4 linked regions of the Arabidopsis thaliana genome follow. The protein of the gene in region 4 interacts with the protein of the main gene of each other region in a pairwise test. Each region holds a gene or a part of one and is shown on either strand. Other genes may lie near its edges. The genes, in order: CRY1, IBH1, AT3G06590 and CIB1.

Region 1 (6,089 bases), about 11 Mb from region 4:
GAGATCATTAAGGAATAGTTCTTGTGTAAAGCCCGTAAACCGGAAAATCGGTTATGGTTTGTGTTTAAATCACCCGGTTTAATCGGTTGGGTTAATGGAAACCCTAGAGTGTACCTATAAAAGAAGGAAACTCGAATTAGAGCTTTGGTTAGTCATTTTTCGTTCTGTAAAAGAGAAAAAGAGAGAGAAGGAGAAGGATCAAAATCGTTAGGATTGGGGAAGAAACAGTTTCAACATATCAAATCGTTGTCAAAGGTAACGAAATTTGGTAGAGTTATTTCGAAGTCTTTCATCGTCGTTTTCCATTTTATAGAAGTTGTTTTGGATTTAAGCTCATTAAGTTATTCACAGTTTCGTGAGACACGTTTTTTCAGACGCGAATTAGGCCCAGCAGAGATTATAACTGAGATCGTGGTCTTGTCTAGTTTCTAATCAGCACGAGATTTTGTGGGAAGCTCGTGACGTCGAAGGCTACTATCAGTATACATACCTATTCGGATTCTCGTTATATGGAAGTAGACGTACGTGTTTCATATACACTAACAAGTCATTTATCATAAATAAATGTGAACTATATATGTTTATAAGATTAAGAATTGGCATCTGTTTGACTTATAACCAAAACTTTGAAAGCCAACAAGTATGAGACCTGGTCTAATACCACAAGCAACAGACTACTTACTATACAGTGTATTATAACATGATGGAACCAGAGATAAATAAAAAATGTACATCAGACAAACTCCTACATAGTTTCTCTCCAGCCCCATAACCGGAATTACATTAAACCGTACCAAATGTACTCGGTTTACAGTCCAACCAGATTTCACCGGAGTTACAGCCCTTATGATGTTCCTCTCCTTTTGCACCTCCAAATGCACTTTTTACCTGTAAAACCAAACATACCACAGTAAATTTCATGCCACTTGGTTAGACCAATGTACCAAATTCCAATTGAACTGTGAAACATAGAAACTTTCACTAATTTTTTTACTGTGGTCTACTGTAAATGCAAACACTTGGATTTGAAAACAGTTCAAAACTTTTCAGCTAAATTCAATTTAAAACTGATACTACTTGGCTAGACAAGTGTGCCAAGCACAACGCGCATCGACGATTTATTTGAATTGTGTAGGAAGATTGAAACTTACTGAAAATTTGGAGACTTTCAATTTGAAAATGTTTAGAATCTTTATGTGAACTTATTGTTGAGAGAGTCGGATTTGCGAGTTACATACCCGGTTTGTGAAAGCCGTCTCCAGTTCAGTATTTCATGGTGATTCTGCAAGTAGCTAGACGTTGTACTTCCTCCTCCAATACCATTTTCTTCACTAGGGAACTGCTCTGAGTACCCTGGAGACCACTCGGGGACTATGCCTCCGCTTCTTTCTCTCCTTCCGCTGCTGGAAGATTCCGCTGTTGAGTCTTCAGTGCTCTCTGCAACAATTCTGATATTAAATTCTGGAATCATAGCAGTGACTTGGTTTGAAGCCGGTTCTGCTCTCCGCTGCTGAGCTTGGTTGGTGTTAACCATGTTCCTTGGAACCTCTGCTCTGCTATCTCCTACTGAATTTCTCAAATTAAGAGACGACTCTTCGTCTTCTTCAGGTCTGATCAAAGAAGAAGTAATGCTTGGAACCATCTGATCCTCATATCTCCTGTTTGGGTTGAGTCTGGTTGGTTCAGTCTCTTCCATTGTAATGTCCCTTGGGAACTCTATAGGAGCTTCCTCTACCTCAGCAGAATCTCCAAGTCCTTCTTCGGATCCGTTCTCTATTGCAGCTCTTGAAGCAGCTTCTAGTTGCCACATCTGTGAAAGCGCTTCATGAAGCCGTGCTTTTGCTTCGTCTAATCCTACAATTGGTAGAGGATAGTTTGATCCAAGCTCGATACCAGCAGCTTGAAGAACGGACTCAGGTGCGTTCCACGGATGATGTATCCAGTCTGTCGGGAGTCTAGAGAGTTCAGGAAGCCATCGCCTTACGTATTCACCATTTGGATCAAACTTGTACCCTTCAAACTGAGGGTTATCTATGCGATCAAACTCCCGGCTATCCGGGAGAGTACCGGTAATGTATTGCCAACCAAGAGCATCGCTTTCTAAATCCGCATCAAGAAGTGTGTCCCAGAAATACTTCATCCCCCATCTCCATGGTAATTGAAGCACTTTAACAAAGAAGCTTGAAACAACTACTCTTATGCGATCATGCAACCAACCAGTAGCCCATAACTCTCTCATCCCGGCATCGACCAACGGATATCCAGTCCGGCCTTGCCTCCATGCCTTGAAATAGTTCTCATCCACAGCCCAAGGGAAGAACTTTAGATGGCCAAGAAGTGGTCTTTCATGGGAATATGGATGGTTAAAACTTATGTACCTAGAATACTCCCTGAGACCAATAGATTTCAGGAAAAGATTCACGCTTTCTTCCCCGGCCTCGTTTCCTTCGTTTGCCCACGCGACCTGTTTGATCCGAACAAGATGAAAAACTTTTCTCACACTCACTTCCCCAAAATGCAAGTGTGGAGAAAGAAACGAGGTTGTAGCACTATCGGCTTTTCTGCGGTTCTTAGAGTATTCAAGCAATGGACCGTTTATAAACGTTGTGAGAGCTTTATCACCATTACTCCATCCAGGAGACCAAGCACGAGCCAGAAGTGCATTGCTTCCTTTCTCAGAGTCATCCTCAAACACCAATGGATCCGCAACACATTTAGACACATCCCCTGCAACATAAAAGAAACATTATTGAATGATACAGATTTGGAAAAAACGAAAACCCACAAGAGAGAGTGGCAAAGAAACAAACCTGAAATGATCTTCTTAGGTGGAAGAAGAGGAGACTCAGGGTCATAAGGCATACTAAGACATCTCTCCCAAAACGCAGCAAACATAGAGAAAGGACGGCCTAATTCATCAGTCACTTCCCATGGCTCATAAAGCAAGTCTGCGTTGAATGATCGAACCGCTATGCCTTGCGCCGTCAAAACATCTTTAGCTCGGTGATCACGCACCAAAGACAATGGATCTGAAAAAGATCAAAACTTTATCATTTCCAGATCATCTTATTCCACAAATACATCAAACAAAACATAACCCATAAGAGAAAAGATGATTCCAATCACAAAAATCAAATCTTTTTATCATGCAAATTCAAAGATAAGATAAAGAGAGAAGAGAAGAGGAACAACAGACCATACAAATGGTTGAAGAAGATCTGAGAAGCACCAGTGGATTTAACAACATCAAGAAGAGAAGCAACACTATCAGTAGATCTCTTGGTGATAAGACAAGTACCAAGACTTCTAAGAGAAGAATCAAGCTGAGCCAAACTGTTCTTGAGCCACCACCTAGAAACCCTACCTGGATGATAGTGTCCTTCTTCTTCTGGTGCCCAAACAAACAGAGCAATCACTGGACCAGCTCTTACTGCTGCTGCTAAAGCTGGATTATCTTCAACCCTAAGATCTCTTCTAAACCATACAATACTACAACCACCAGAACCACAACCAGATACAGAACCAGACATCTCTCACAAACTAAAAAAAACTAAAACTTTTCTTTGCCAATAATCACATAAAAATTACTTTTTTATTCAAACTATTTCCAGAAATCGAAACCCTTTGGTCACTTATCTCTCTCGAGAAGAAAGACAACAAAAAAAAAAAGATTTTTGATGAGAAGGCAAAAAAAAAAAAAAAGCTTATCTTTACGAATATCTCTCTCTCTCTCTGAGTGCCTCTCTGGCAAAATGCAACTATACTTTTGGGAATTATTCACCCAAAAAGATTTTTCCTAATTTTGGACAAAGTAGTCTCTAAGTAATAACCCAAAAATATAGCAATATTTGCATTAATTTCTCTTTTAATTTATTTATTGTTTAGGTTACAGTTTGAAAAAATATTTATCTCTTATTAAATTATAATTATTATTTATTTTTGGTAGAAATATAAAATTATTATTTTTGTCTTAAAGTGAAAAATCAAAGAAAAATAAAATAAAAATAAGTTATCTAAAAAAAAAGAAGAAGAAGAAATTGGAGGTTGATAGAGAGAGGTGAAGAAGATTGACACTAGGAATAATGATTCAATTCACACGACGAGATTTATTGGAATAATTTTCCACCACAACTTTTATTTATTTCTTTCCACTTGAAATATTATCCCAATCCAGTTGAACCAAATCAACTGTGACTCACAAGATTTCTACTCCTTTCCCTAAAATTTCTCCTTTTTTCTTTGTTCAAAAAAAAAAAAAAAATGTAGAATCTTATACTATAATTCTCTAGAACATATTCTACATATAAATATTAAACTGATTTTTTATACACTTGGATTTTAGTGGGACGATTATTGGTTAATTATCAAATGGTTCAATTCGGATTTCGGTTCTGATTCGTTTCGATTTTCGTTTAGGTTTTTAAAATTTCTGTGTTATGAAAAATGGTATATTCAGATAAAATAAAATGATATAATAAATGATTTGGTATAGTTTTGGATTTGAGGTTTTTGGATTATAAATATCAATATGGTTTAGTTTGAATCGGATCGGTTTATCTGGTAAAACAAATGATATCTTAATTTTATTCTTTTATTTTTTTAAAGTTGATTATTAAGGATAATAGAGAAATCATATAAATGATGTACCGAGGATGGTTCTGAAATGTTATTGGAAGGTTAGGATATGAGAGAGAGTGACATATTAGCAAAAGTGGGCGAGAGATGGATATGGTTGGCCCTCCTTGCCTTTTAACATATTTTAGGACTTTTTATGTTATCTATATATATATATATATATATATTGTTTTTGGTGTGGAGAGTGTTTATCTTGATTCATGATAGAGTTAAGACTCCCTTGACAAGTCAATTTAAGTTACCAAATCACTAATCCAAAATTATGAAACCTCTTTTACGGCTTTACCCAATTTTAATTCCATCACATATATGTTTGATAGTTTAGATCTACATTTTTCTCTTCTGATTAATTTTTATAGTGAGCGTAGTTGTCGAATAGTCTTCATAATTGTTTTTAATATGTTTGATAGTTTAGATTTAGATTTTTTTCATCTGATTATTTTTTTAGGGTGAGCGTAGTTGTCGAATCGTCTACTTAAATTTTTTAATAGCTTTAAACATGATACTGAGAGCTGGTTAAAAATATATTTTAGGTTCGAAGAAAATTGATTTATAACTTAGACCTACATAAAAAAAAATAACAAATCAGAATCACTAACTAGCTACTTGTATTTGGTTAAATTCCATCATATGCGTAGGACATTGAATTTTGTGGGTAAAAATTAGAAGATACAAACATACATTTCTGAAAATCATAAATATTCATCAGATTAAGTATACAACAAATTGACGAAAAAAAAAATTTACAACTAATTTACTTTTTTTTTTATCAATAACACATTAATTTAAAGATAACTTCATGATTGGTTTACCGCTCAACAATTAATTCACATCAGACAAAATATATTTAACAAAGCGGATAAATAATATAAAAATGAATAATGATGACACAAATGAACGGATTACATACATTAAAAAAAACAATCATGATATCTGCTCTCGACCACCTCTAAATTAGCTTGTTTTCGAGTGTAAATAACGTGCCTTTTATTATTTTATTGCTCGTAGGAGTATTCATAATATAGCTAGAAAGAGCTTATTATTTTATTATATGTATGTACAAAAAATAATAGAGATTATTATTGATTTTGCCTTTTTTATAAAAATCTTGTGAAAATGATATTTTTCCTAAAATCTTACGGATTTATTATTTTTAACACTTAAAAATGTACCTCGTTACGTTTTTTTAAAATACATACTTATACCAAAGACTAAACCTAAATATAACGAGTAAAACGCATCTTAAATCACATTTTTGTAACCTCAAAAAGGGCAAAATTTACAAACTATTCAAAAAGGAAAAATTCATAAATACAATTAAGAGAATGGCAAATCCGTAATTGATTCATTATAATATATACAATCTAACATAGAAGAGTACCATAATGACAGTAAAGTTATATATGGATATAATAAATTAGAAAACTTCTGCTTTATTACTAGTGAAAATTCCC
Region 2 (3,738 bases), on a different chromosome or scaffold from region 4:
GGAATTGACCAATTTGTCTGTTTACGTACACGTGTATAATAATTGACAAATTAAAGTAGGACACTCGTATGAAATATAAGTATGACCAACTGCATAAATAAGACGTGTAGATAATCCTTCCAACGGAAAATGTGATTATAAAGAAAACAAGTAATCAGAGTCTTGTAATTTTTGTTAATAATGTTGTTGTGAGCGACCATTTGAATTCAATCCGACATAAATCATGAAATGTTAGAGTTATACAAAAAAAAAAATCTCTCTTACCTGAAAAAAGAGTTATACAAAACAAAAAAGGAGTTAAATTATATATATTCTACAAAATTCTTTAACCTATATAATGTCAAGTATTTTTAAGACTTATTCAAGTAACTCCGTGTTAAACAAAAAAAAATCATTTAATTAAATGATTCATAATTCTATAAATATATATTTTTAAAATTATTAGATTTATCATATATTTTCTCAAAAACATAAACAGTCGTATATGTATAGGAGATATATAAATACAGAATGTATATTTTATGATAGTTATAATTCCGCTATAATTTTCTTATAACTAATATGTTATAACTTTATATATATAATCCATCCATAGAAACATCATTGACGAATAACACAATCAAGAGGAACCAAGTAAATTGCATAGCTTAAAAGAAAAGAAGAAAGAAAATTCTCTTAGCATATGATAAGTAATAAATCCCCTTTTATCATATGACAAGGGCAAGTTACCAAGCCCTAATGTTTAAACCGGCCATAGCATATGATAAATAATAAATCCCCTTTTATCAAAATTCAAGAAAAGAAAAAGAAAAAAATCTTTCGTTACTTCGAGACTAATACATATCCACACATTTCATATATGTATCCTATCTTACACGTATGTATATATATAAGAATATATATATATATATATATATATATATACACATATATATTCGTTATGATTACCCCAATCCAATAGACTATGTATGTGTCGTATCTCTATATACATCGATCATTGATGATGATGTTGATGATTAATTGATGATCATTTGGGAGATAAGCCATCAACGAGACACTGCATGACCTTGACCTGCATACTAAGGCACTTGATGTAATGAGCCGTCTCTTCCATCAGCTTTGACGTCTCCATTCCTCCGCCTCCCGGAACAAGATTCCTCAGCCTCTCCGCCGCCTCCTCCACCACCGGAGCTCTCTGGTTACTCCTCCTCCGTTTTGATGATATCTTCCACTTCCTCCTTGAAAATCTTACGATCTTGTTGTCATCTTTGTCTGCTCTACGCAAGAGGGCTCTGCTCCATAGCCGGCTACTCCCTCCGGCTGCTCTGGCCATGGAAACGTACGCAGCCTTCTTGATCTTCCTCACGCGGTAGTTTTTTTGGTCCGGAGTATCAAAAGGGTTTTGTTTTCTGAGATTTGAGAGGGATTGGAGGAAGTGGAAGGCAAAAACGTCCTTTTCAGGGACATCTGTGTTTATGAGTTTGTCTGCAGAGGCCATTGTTTGGGTTTTTTAGAGAAGAGAACTTGAGTTGAGAACCTTTATAAAACTTTTTTTTTTTTGAGAATGACACAATATTAGGGTTAATATAAATGGAAAGGTGGAGAGAGAGAGAGAGATAGAGAGGAATAAATAATGTTTATTTTTCCTTGTACTTAACTTTTCTTTATGTTTTTTTATGTCACAAGACACACAACTATTCAAATTCTCTATAAAGTTTAAATTTAAACTATAGGTTCAACTATTTATAACTCATGTTCTAAAAAAAAAAAGATGTGTTAATAGCTTTGAAATATTGAATTTTGGAGCTTAATTGGTCCGTCAAAGTTACGTTGCGTAAAAATATGAGAATATGAAGTTATAAGTGGCAGTTTTCTTCAATGGTGAACAGCAAATAAATACAGTTCTATGTTTAACTTTGGGGGTTTACTAATATTAGTTCAAATTTTTTGTAGATTCGTCTGTTATGGTTTAGTGGTTTGACATCGATTGCTTACTGGTGGCTACTTAGATGTGTAAATATATCATTATGTGTTAGAATTTTAAAATGAAATGTGAATTGTATAACCCATGTATTTCGGAAAAGTATAATTTACACCTAGTGTTATAAAGTCTTGAATAAATAAATGGGCAATTAGTGGAAAACGATGTTTTGGAGCTTGAAGAAAAAAGTTGATGCCAATAGATTAACAGAACTTGGCTATTTTGGGTATATATATTTGACTATTTTGAAATTTGAAATATTAATGTATACTACACCCAAATACAATATATATAGCATTAATGCTCGTATACATCTTAGCTAAAACAAAATAATAATTCGGATGATGTTTAAGTACTAGACGCAAATTAATCAAGCTCGTTTGGTTCATAGCTTGGTATTAACGGAAAAAAGAGCAATTTAGAGCAGACATCAGATTATGGAATTAGATTCCAACCACACTATTATGTTTATTTGTTTGTTTTTATAAAAGGTTAATTTAGTGACGAATGCGTATGAATTCATTAACGTGAACAGCTAATAGAGACTATTATGATAAAATTAGGTAAGCTATATACATATATGTATGTATTTATGTTAACATTAGTTGACAACTAATGACGATTAAGATGGAATATGATCGATTGTGGAAAACATATAAGCTCATTTTCAAGGCAAAAGAAATAACAAAACCCAAAATATCAATTTAATTGATTCATTACTTGCTCGATATTTACTTCCACAAACAAAATTCAGCCAAAATCCAACTCTCGTGAAACGACTGATTGAGGATGTTTATTCGAAACTGAGTTTGAACTATACGTTAGTTTAGAAAGTAACACCATTGAACCTGAGAATAACTATGATTATTTCGACGATATAAAGTGTTAATAAACTTAATCAATTAGCCACTCGCATCATCAAGATAAAACGTGTTTAAAATTGATCAGATATATAACAAAGTATTCACCATGCAAGAGAGCAACAACAAAATATGAGATTATTCAATTGGCTTGACCAATAGATGACGTTACAATTTATATACACCAAATATTACTAACCAATTTAGAAAAGACAACACATGAAAATATAAAAGAAGAGAAGAGAGACTTGAGGAATACGATAAGTGTTTGGTTAAGGCTATAATTTAGCATTAGTCCCATCTCTTTTGTGTTAATCACTCTCTCCCCTACCGCTTTGCCGCCGGACGTATTTTTCACGCCATTTAATTCTTTTGTATAACATCATCATGATCATATTTATCTTTTTTCAAGATTCAGCTCCAAAATCCCTTAAATCTCACTGTTTTCTCTAAGGTTTCAAATTTCACATCTATCATAAAAATACGTTTAAAGATTAACAATTTCGGGTCAATAACAATTTACAAAATTGTTGATATTAGGAGTGAAACCAAATGAATAAGAAGGTGTTAATCATATAATAAGAACTAAAAAAGAGTTGAAGAAGTGGTAGAGTAGGTCCACTAATGGGCCAACCACCACATGAAGGCACATGGCTATGGCCTTTACCCACCTCCACTTTCCTTTCTCTCTTATCTTTATCTTTAATTTTTTTTTGTTCTAATTATTCAATTAATATTAACTACACCATTCGTTTTCTTTGATTCTCTTCTTAATTTAATAATAAGTCGTTGGGGGCGAATAAACTTTATCATACTAGTTGATTAAAATATCCCAACTAAAAATGTAAAACAAAAACAAAAGAATAAATGCTATTGGTCATTTAGTAATAATGATTT
Region 3 (5,223 bases), on a different chromosome or scaffold from region 4:
TTTATATTTGATAAACATATTATTCCCAAAAATGATGTTATTGATTAAAAAACGTTTCCTAATTCTTCTAACACTCTATGAATTCAGATAACACTAGATTAGATAAGTGTCCTAGTTTGAATTTAAATTTAATCGTATTTTACGTGTGTGAGAGTTATATCCTATATGTAAAAACTAAAAGTAATTTGAGCTATAAGATAATACTGAATGGATAAATAGTAAAAGTTTTCCGGTTAACCGTTGTTTTTAATTCCTGCTTAATTAGATTGAGTAACAAATATGCAAGTGTTAACGTGTAGCAACATGGAGGTATTACATACAATGTAGATAAAACTATATCTGAAAAAGATATTGATTTATGTGTAAATTAAAAATAATAAAAAATTTCTAAAAGATGATTAGAGGAATAATATATTACATTGTATATATTAGCCATAGGGTTTAGGGTTCAACTAGATTTTTAAGGTTACTCTTATCGTTTATTTATTTATTAATGATATATATATATATATATATATATATATATATATATATATTTATTTATTCACACAATTTAATAAGCAAACGTCTAAGTTGAAACCCTAAATTAAAATATCATTTCTCAAATCACTATAAAATGGAGTCTCTCCCAGAAGAAGTGGTTGTGAAGGAGATCTTGCCACGCGTGGCTCTTTCTTCACTCAAGCTTGTTCAACTTCAGCCTCGTATGCAAATCATTACATAATCTCTGCAACGACCCTCAAGTTCTCGAACACGTCTGCCTCGACGAAATCAAAACCGCAAACGATGACCTATAACTAAAGCTAGAGTTTTCTCAAGAGATGCAGAGAGAGCGGAAACACGGAAGCAGTGGCTCGTGAAGGAATTGTGAAGTGCTTTTACCTATTCAGTAATATTGTTGATGAAGAGAAAGGGATCGAATGTTTGCAAAAGCCGCGTCTAAAGGACTCAAAGCTGCCTCATATCTCTGTGGAGTGATCTCTTTGTGTCGCGGTGGGAAAGTTCCGCAAAAGAGTATCGAGATTTTCAAGTCTTCTTTTGTCGTGAAATCTTCGGCACTGAAGACTAGGAGAAACCTCCAGGAGTATCTGCAATGGATGGTTTCCAAATATAAAAATCATTTTTTGGGAATTAGGCTCCTTGGTTATAACTGTGTTCGACATGGACATAATTTTATCTGGGCAAGTTTCTCTAATAGTGTGTTGGCGAGTTTTAATCCAATCTTCTACAATGTTGCGGTTTATTTTCTCTAATAGTTTGTCCCTTTTGGCAATAATAATATAACTTATGAAATATGTGATGAAAAGAGTTGTCGTGCAAGTTAATAAGAGAAGGCTTAAAAAGAAACAAGAGGACAAAGGCATGGCCACTCCCATGTGCCTCCTCATACTTTTAAGGTCACTTCTCTCTATGTTTTAAATATTTTTTGCTTTTGTCGTCACTTGTCTCTTGTTGTCGCCTAGTCATACTCCAGTGTTCTTAAATCATATCCCTATCACAGAAATTCGTATATTAATTAAGCTAATGAATCAAACTCCTGTTAAGTCAATTTTAACTACAGGTTATTCAGTTTTGCTTCGTGATGAATATTGAAGGATATACAGTACGTGCAGAACTGCAGATTAGTGTTTGAGAAAACTTATTTAGTAACAGGGAATTATTAGCTAATTTAATCTTTTTTCTTCTTTTTTTCCTTTATATTTCTTGTGAAATAAGGAAAAGAAAAGAAAAAGAAGACAAACAACCTATAAGTATCAAAAATGGGATTCAAAGGAGGGGCAATAAAGCGAGTAGATGATTGAGTGACAGATCAATCTCATCAGTCATCATTCAATTCAATGAATTTGAATGTATCATTCCATTCATTCTCTAATGCATCATCACATGCTACCATAATCAAAACTAAAGTTAACCCATTATCTTCCTACATCTACTATAATGTATTTTAAAATTCTAAATGGGAAATTATTTTCTTTCCACTTTATTGCAGTACAAATCTATTTCATGTTGAAATTTCATATAGTACATAAGATGATATAGTACAAAGCCATATTGAATGAACTAAAAGTACATCAAAAGTTCCATATTGGTTTAGTTATCACATACTATGAGGTTAAAAGAGGAACCCATTTTCCCACTAACTCCAATAACGAATTCATCAATCTTATTTTTTTTTTGATCAACAACGAATTCATCAATCTAAATCAAATAATCCAACTACGATTTGAACCCTAATGGTAAAGACTTTATTAATCAATCATATACTTAATTTAGACTTGAGGATCGTAAAAATGGGAAGACTCGGTTCAAAATTTACTTTTACTTGTAGCAGAGAAGAATCAGCGGTTGGGAAGAGTAGTTACAGATTATAATCAAACCGAATCTTCTATATACACATAAGCTGTGAAAGATCGAGAGATGGTAGAATTAAAAAGACGATTTTAACCTCATCAAATCGGTGGAGGAGCTGAGCCGTAGGAGGAGAGAAGCTGAACTAAAGAGTTCATGGCTCTCACTTGCATCTCCAGAGCCTGAATATAATCAGTTGCTTCTTCTAGAATCACCGGTACGGATTGTTTACCGCAACCGGGAACTAACCGGCCTAGAACACGTACTTTCCGGTTAACATCCGGTATACTCTTCTTATTCAATCTCAACACCGACACTCTCCGTTTTCTCGATCTGTTGCTGCTGCTACTAACCACCGTAGTCATGGCCGGAATCGCCATCGTAGCTCGAGGACGTCTCTGTTTACGAAATTTCAGTTTGATCCGATTAGCTAAGATCGCTCTGCTCCAGAGTGTTCTTCCCCGAGCGGAAACGGCAAGAGCTCGATCGGCGGCTTCACGGACGGCCTTTCCTCGTTTCTGAGCCGTTGGAGATGATGATGTTGAGGCGGAAGAGTTGAGGCGGACTTGTTGGAGCGCTTGGAACAGTTTGGCTGAGTAGATCCGTTGTTGCTTCTCCGATCGCCATCGCGCGTGAATCTCACCGGAGACGGAAGATGCGCTTGAACGAGACGATGCGGCGGATGAAGCAGAGGATCTCTTCTTTCTCCGAACGAGATCTGAAGTAGTACTCGTCGGCGGTTCAATATCTGAGATCAGAGACGCCATAACCAAATAATTGGCTCTGATCTCCGCAGTCGTATTGAAAGAGCTACAGAATCCGAATTTATCTGAAGTTGAGCGGAAGAAAGTTATGAAATTGTGGAGAATAATGGAAGGGAGAAGAAGAGGAAGATATATAAAGGGAGAGAGGTATCAACTATCACGAGACGTAGCAGTTAACAAACGGCCCCGTTTTAGATGTAGCAGTTAATAAGCGGCGTCGTTTTGTCAATTTGTTTTTTAGTATTTGTTGTTTTAGCCAGATACGAAAGTGGCATTTGTAATGCATGATAAAGAGAATTCGTGAATACCACCAAGAAACAAATAATTTCATTCTCAACACTAGTGGAATTGATAAGTTATAATTAACTGGCTCTATAACCTCTAATGGTTTTGGAATAATGAGAGACAGAGACATCATTGTGACTTGAAGCAATGTTTATGAATTATGATTATACTTAAAAAGTTTTGTTCCACGTTGATTAGTTCACAATTATTTTTTTAAACTTACCCTCTTGACAGAGATTTTAGAAAGAAATTTATATACAAAATTTCTTACAATCACGAGTTTTCGATCTTTTGTAGACATAATCTAAATAGAGAGTAAAATACATAATAGAAATGCTACAAAGATCCTAATGTGGGTAGAGCATCCATAACGATAGTTTCCAATCAATTTAGGGTACAATCTTAATTACTAAATTAGCTTATTGATATCTAAAGATGTTTACGAAAAGAGAAAACAAACAAACTTGTATAAAGGCCGATACTTTGGTGGAATGGAGGAGGAAGGTAGATTCAAACGAAAGGATGACGTGTCATATTACTATTGGAGAAATCCATTTACGACTTATAGTGGTCGTTTAATGGACTGACAGGGCAAAAAGAGAGGGGCCAAAAACTCAAAACTTTGGATTTTGTATTCAGTGCAATGATTTCGTAAATATTGGAATTGTATTTAAAATACTACTTTACGCATAAAGTAATATACCAAACGAAATGCATGTGCGATGTAGGGTTAGTGGCACTGCCTCTCTTTACGGCTTTTTTTTCTTTCCCTGTAAAGAAAAGATCACTGAAATTAACTCCTGTATTTTATCAAAAAAAAGTTTTGTATGTGTATCTATCAATATGTATGAATAAAATTTCATTAAATTTTGTGTATATGTATAAGTAGATATAAGATTAATAGATTGTTGGGTAAAGTATAAGGGAGTGGCGTCATTTTATTCATATATCCTGCTGAAAAAAGGAGCTTCTGAACTTCTCCATTGGGTTAATTCATATATAAATAAAGCTAGCTACGTTCAAACTAATTTTCTAGAAAAGTTACTGTTAGTTTGATTTTTGTTTGTACTGTTCACTATGTTGAGTTTGATCAGCAGTTAAAATGGAAAATACCTATCTTAGTTTATGTTAGACATAAAAGTACCACAATGGTATATATACTGTATTAAGATGTTTTTAGGCGGGTGGAAAGGATGTTAGAAACAGAGCGCAATGCGCAATGCTTCATAGATAATAGTATTCATTTAACCTAAGGGCTAAGGGTTAATAATTGTGTCAGTAACGTGGCATATTCTCTGTACCTTAGAAAGTTATAAGCTAGAATGATTCCACATGACAAATTAATGATAAGAAACAACATATCCAATTATTCACTAAAGTGTCACTTACAATAAAATAGTTTATCTACTTCGAATTTAAGAATATATTTTCGATTTAGATACTTAAATTTTCTCAATTTATACTTTAGAATCAAGCAGAAAATTTGTTGGTGAAGAACAAAGCAACCTAATGAATTATCTGTTTTACGAACTGAGTCAAAGAAACCACTATTCGAATCTGCGATTTGCGTAATTCTCATGGGCTCTACTTCAACAACAACAACAAAAAAAACATGTATCACAAAGGTTGCTGGCTGTAATTGTTATCTTCCATTAATAGAAATAAATATATTTCGGATTGGAAGTTCAAATTTGTTACTATGAAAATTTACTACTGTAAATCATAATTCCAGCTATCTAAGGTTTTCAAATTTATTTGCAAATCATTATGTATCTCGGATGTAATGAGTTTTTTCTTATTATATTAATGAAAAAAGTTGATAAGG
Region 4 (3,887 bases):
TGAGGAGGGTAACGCCGGCGTCGGAGAGAGATTTCAGCTTATCGGAGAGAGTGGTGTTTCTGATGAGAGCGAAAGTCGGGTGACCCGATTCGATGCTGAAACGGGTCAAATAGTTCCCTAATCTTCCTGTTGCTCCGATGATCAAAACTCTGCTCTTCTTCTTCTCCTCCTCCATTTATATATACTCTCCGTATAGAGAATTAGGATAGTTTAGTTCCAATGGGTTGGTCATAGGTTTTAATCTCTGACTCAGTTCTCTTACATTGTCGTCGTTTTGTCCGCCACGCTTAACAGGTGTTGTTTATTCAATTGCTTTAAATTTGGGATTAGTCCCGCTTTTTCAAAGTAACCAAAACATAGATTAGAAGATTGTTAGTGATAAGATGTAAAACATAACGTTAAACGACTGGTGTCTTGTTTCTTGATTTCATGGTCGCATGACTTGTGGCATTGTATACTAAAAAAAAAAATACTAATGGATGATCATTCACCACAAGAAGATGAGAACACACCTTGAATTAAAGACACAAGTCCACCGATAAGAAATATATTACTGGACTGGTTTGCAAATTATACACAATAATGTCTACACTCTTTGATACATCAACTAATGGGCGGGGGATCTCAAGTCAATAATCTAGTGGAATTAGTAAATAACAGCTACTGGTTTGCTCTCTCTTCCGATGAATAATTTGAATTAGGGAACATTGTTATGTTGTGGATTGGTTTCTTAATCAAACTCCTAAATTGCCATAGAGATTCTGCACATGAGAGTCCCACATCGAAGGAGCTTCGCCATTCTGTAACAATCAAAACATATTTAGTAAAAAATTATCATATCCAAAGTTAAACTAAAGGATAGATCATAATGAAAGAGTATTAAAAATATGACTTACGTTGAAGCATGACAATGGATCAGAACTGGTATTCACTTGCTGCATTGGATTGACATGAAGGTAACCGGAGTTAACCATCTCACTAGAATAACCAGAGTGAACCATCTCATGAGAATAACCGGAAAGAACCATTTCAGGAGATGGCACCACAGTCATTGGAGTTGAGGCAACCTGGTTTTGAATCCACATGGCGTATTTTAGCTCATCTATAAATAGCCTTTAAAGTTTTGTTTTTCATATAAGCATAAACAAATCAATGACTAACCTCTTTGGCAAAAATGTCATCCATATCAAAATCCGGCCTTGGATTCACAATTGCTAGTTTCATCGATAAGAACTGTTTTAAACAATATTTTGATAACAAATTAGGAAGGTAATGCAAAATTAGTCTTTAAAACATATTTTCTATAAATGGAAATAATTTTCAGACCTCGATTTGTCTCTGAAGAGACTGAACATAGTTAATGATTTCATCAAGCATCCCTGCTTTGCCTGTGATCTTGTCGCATCCAGGAACCAAATCTTGTAGAAACTTCATTCTCTCACTGATCTTTTCTCTTCTAACCTTCACAAATTTAATACTTTAATAATTAGTCTCAATGATTACACAAAAAACAAAGTTAATGAATTTTAGTTAATGAGGCTCTCTTACTCGTTCTGCTATGCTGTGACTATCAGTGGCTTGGCCTCGTCGTGCACGAACATGAATATAATCCGTTTTCTCCAATTCCTTCGTCACTTTAGATGAATCATTAGAGAAATTGTTCTCTTCTTTCTTGGCTTTGTGTTTCATCTTCTTGATGCTTTTTGTGCTCCCATTGTTTTGCTCTGTTATTTTCGACTTCTCTTCTTCTCCTTCTTCTACTAGGTCATCTCTGTTCATCGTCATCTTCTTCTTCTTCTCATTACAATCCTAAAAGCACACACAGAAGAAACAGATAAGCCAAATCTCAAAGTAAGATCTGTTTTCTTTTTCATTTATAGAACTTAAACTTAAGTTTTCTTTACACACGAACCTTAGTCTCTGTATCAAACTTCCGTTTCTTGAAATTTCCAGTCCCAAGCGTCGTTTCCGGCGAAATTGAGAGTCTTGAATCACCTTCCACCGTCGTCTCACCGTACATCATCGGAAGATTCAAACCGGCAGTCGAAAGATAGCTGTCCATCTCGCCGCCGGTAATCATTGAAGAATCGGCAAAGAAGCCGGCGAGAGGAGAATCAAAGGTGGGATTGAGGTACTTGAGGTGAGCCCTTTGGCGCTCTAGGACCGACATGTCAGGAAAATTGAGCAAAAGGTCACCTCCTATAGCTCCATTCATCGTTATCGTCTTCTTTGGATTCAGAAAACAAGTTGCTTGCAACGAGAGAGAGAGAGAGTGGAGAAAGAAACAGAGTAAAGGTGAGGGTAGAAGAGGAAACGATATTTATAACAAAAACCATCAGCTCTGTACTTAGTCCATATTCATCGCATCTAATAAGGTAGGCCCATATACAAATCTGGAAACTTTATATGTTTTGTGATAATTGATATTTGCGATGATTGAAAATTGAGAAAATAACTAAAAATAGTGAGTGACACAGAAAACTTATAAAACATTTATTACGTAATATATGCATGTATTATAGTGTAAATTGGATCTTGATTCACTAAGAAAGGATAAGCTTGGGATGTCTATGCGAATTGGAGCGTCTCTTCTTTAGGTTTCTTTCATTATAGGAGCACGTGAATGGTCACGTGGGAATGGTCTAGTTGTAACACAATGAAAAATAATTTTGTAGTTTACAAGCTAGTTATGATTATATGAATCAGATTGGTGTGTGCGCTAGATATTTCACCTAATTAAAATGGGGTTACAAAGAAAACACTTTACCTCATTTCAATAGCTCTGGTCTTAGTTTAGCTACGAAGCACTGTTCACATGAATTTATTACATCCTTCGGAATCTTGTTATTCAGATCGATCATCATCATGTGTCTGATCGCCATGCTGTATACATTGGCTTACTCTATCGTGATAGGCTAATACTGAGACGGCGCAAGAGAGGCTGCCACGTGATCGCCATGCTCTTTTTCGATGCAGAAGGCCCATCACATGAATTACTCACAAGTTAGTTTTAGTCTTAGATCACTTTCACCGATTTCGGTGAGCAAATATTTCGAAGAAAAGGACCTTCCATTAAAGTATATATGACATTGTTTTAGATTCTCAAATATTTTCATTTATCCGACTTTTTATGTTATTGGAAAACGCTTTATGTGATTGATATAGGGACATGAAATCTTCTCGATTCTATAATGAAAACCCAACTCTCTTTTATTTTGCTTAGTCCAGTTATATATTAACCTTTAAAGCAGATACATGGAGTTAGTAGATAAGGAAAGGGGAGGGTGTAAAGTTGTTAGAAACAAAGACATGGTCGTTGCCTTTTGATGTGATGAATTTGGACTAAGTCCATAGAAGATGATGATCAGCTATTTCCCTCCCTATCATACTATACATGCATACACTAAAAAAAGTAAAGCCACACACCTAATTTGTGGGTTCCCCATCACCTTGTACATATATGTTCATAAATTCATGTCGACATGTATGTAGATGTTGACATTTGATTCGGTGTGTTGTATTGGAGATAGTTATATTATTTATACAAAAGTATTTAAATACATCTATCCAATTTCTTTCCTTAAACTGGAGAATTGATCTGTGCACGTATATTTATCTATGTTTAATTAAGTGTTGTTACTAACTTACTAAAAGATATCTATATCAATTTGTATATGGGAGAGTTCTTAATTAGAATTAGAAATTGCTGTAAAAAAAATTAGAATTAGAAACATATCATCGACGTAGAAATTTCTGATGGAACAATAATGAGGGGAGATCCAATGGTCATGACTCATGAATCATGATCACATGATGGGAGCCTAATTCCTATATGATGGGTTATTCTCGATATATGCATGGGAATTAGACGTATAAATAAGAGGACT

Evidence for each region.
Region 1: the proteins of CIB1 (region 4) and CRY1 interact in a two-hybrid assay, tested with the Arabidopsis thaliana proteins (one study listed by BioGRID).
Region 2: the proteins of CIB1 (region 4) and IBH1 interact in binary tests that used the Arabidopsis thaliana proteins (3 or more experiments, as listed by UniProt).
Region 3: the proteins of CIB1 (region 4) and AT3G06590 interact in binary tests that used the Arabidopsis thaliana proteins (3 or more experiments, as listed by UniProt).

What each region holds. Positions count from the first base shown.
Region 1 is NC_003075.7:5,721,701-5,727,789, reverse strand, and holds CRY1 (cryptochrome 1), read right to left. Parts: upstream 4,140-6,089; 5' UTR 3,531-4,139; coding exon 3,197-3,530; intron 3,030-3,196; coding exon 2,811-3,029; intron 2,728-2,810; coding exon 1,239-2,727; intron 889-1,238; coding exon 885-888; 3' UTR 522-884; downstream 1-521.
Region 2 is NC_003071.7:17,907,007-17,910,744, reverse strand, and holds IBH1 (ILI1 binding bHLH 1), read right to left. Parts: upstream 1,739-3,738; 5' UTR 1,499-1,738; coding exon 1,028-1,498; 3' UTR 535-1,027; downstream 1-534.
Region 3 is NC_003074.8:2,052,197-2,057,419, forward strand, and holds AT3G06590 (basic helix-loop-helix (bHLH) DNA-binding superfamily protein), read right to left. Parts: upstream 3,471-5,223; 5' UTR 3,117-3,470; coding exon 2,451-3,116; 3' UTR 2,447-2,450; exon of another isoform or gene 1,493-2,446; 3' UTR 883-1,492; exon of another isoform or gene 804-882; 3' UTR 551-803; downstream 1-550. UniProt on the Arabidopsis thaliana protein: bHLH transcription factor that binds DNA on specific sequence 5'-CANNTG-3' in target gene promoters. Negatively regulates brassinosteroid signaling.
Region 4 is NC_003075.7:16,496,794-16,500,680, reverse strand, and holds CIB1 (cryptochrome-interacting basic-helix-loop-helix 1), read right to left. Parts: upstream 2,291-3,887; 5' UTR 2,216-2,290; coding exon 1,913-2,215; intron 1,810-1,912; coding exon 1,549-1,809; intron 1,462-1,548; coding exon 1,327-1,461; intron 1,234-1,326; coding exon 1,162-1,233; intron 1,068-1,161; coding exon 897-1,067; intron 801-896; coding exon 735-800; 3' UTR 507-734; downstream 1-506. Other genes in the region: AT4G34540 (NmrA-like negative transcriptional regulator family protein), read right to left, coding at 1-175. UniProt on the Arabidopsis thaliana protein: Transcription factor that binds DNA to G box 5'-CACGTG-3' and, to a lower extent, to E-box 5'-CANNTG-3' in vitro. Binds to chromatin DNA of the FT gene and promotes its expression, and thus triggers flowering in response to blue light.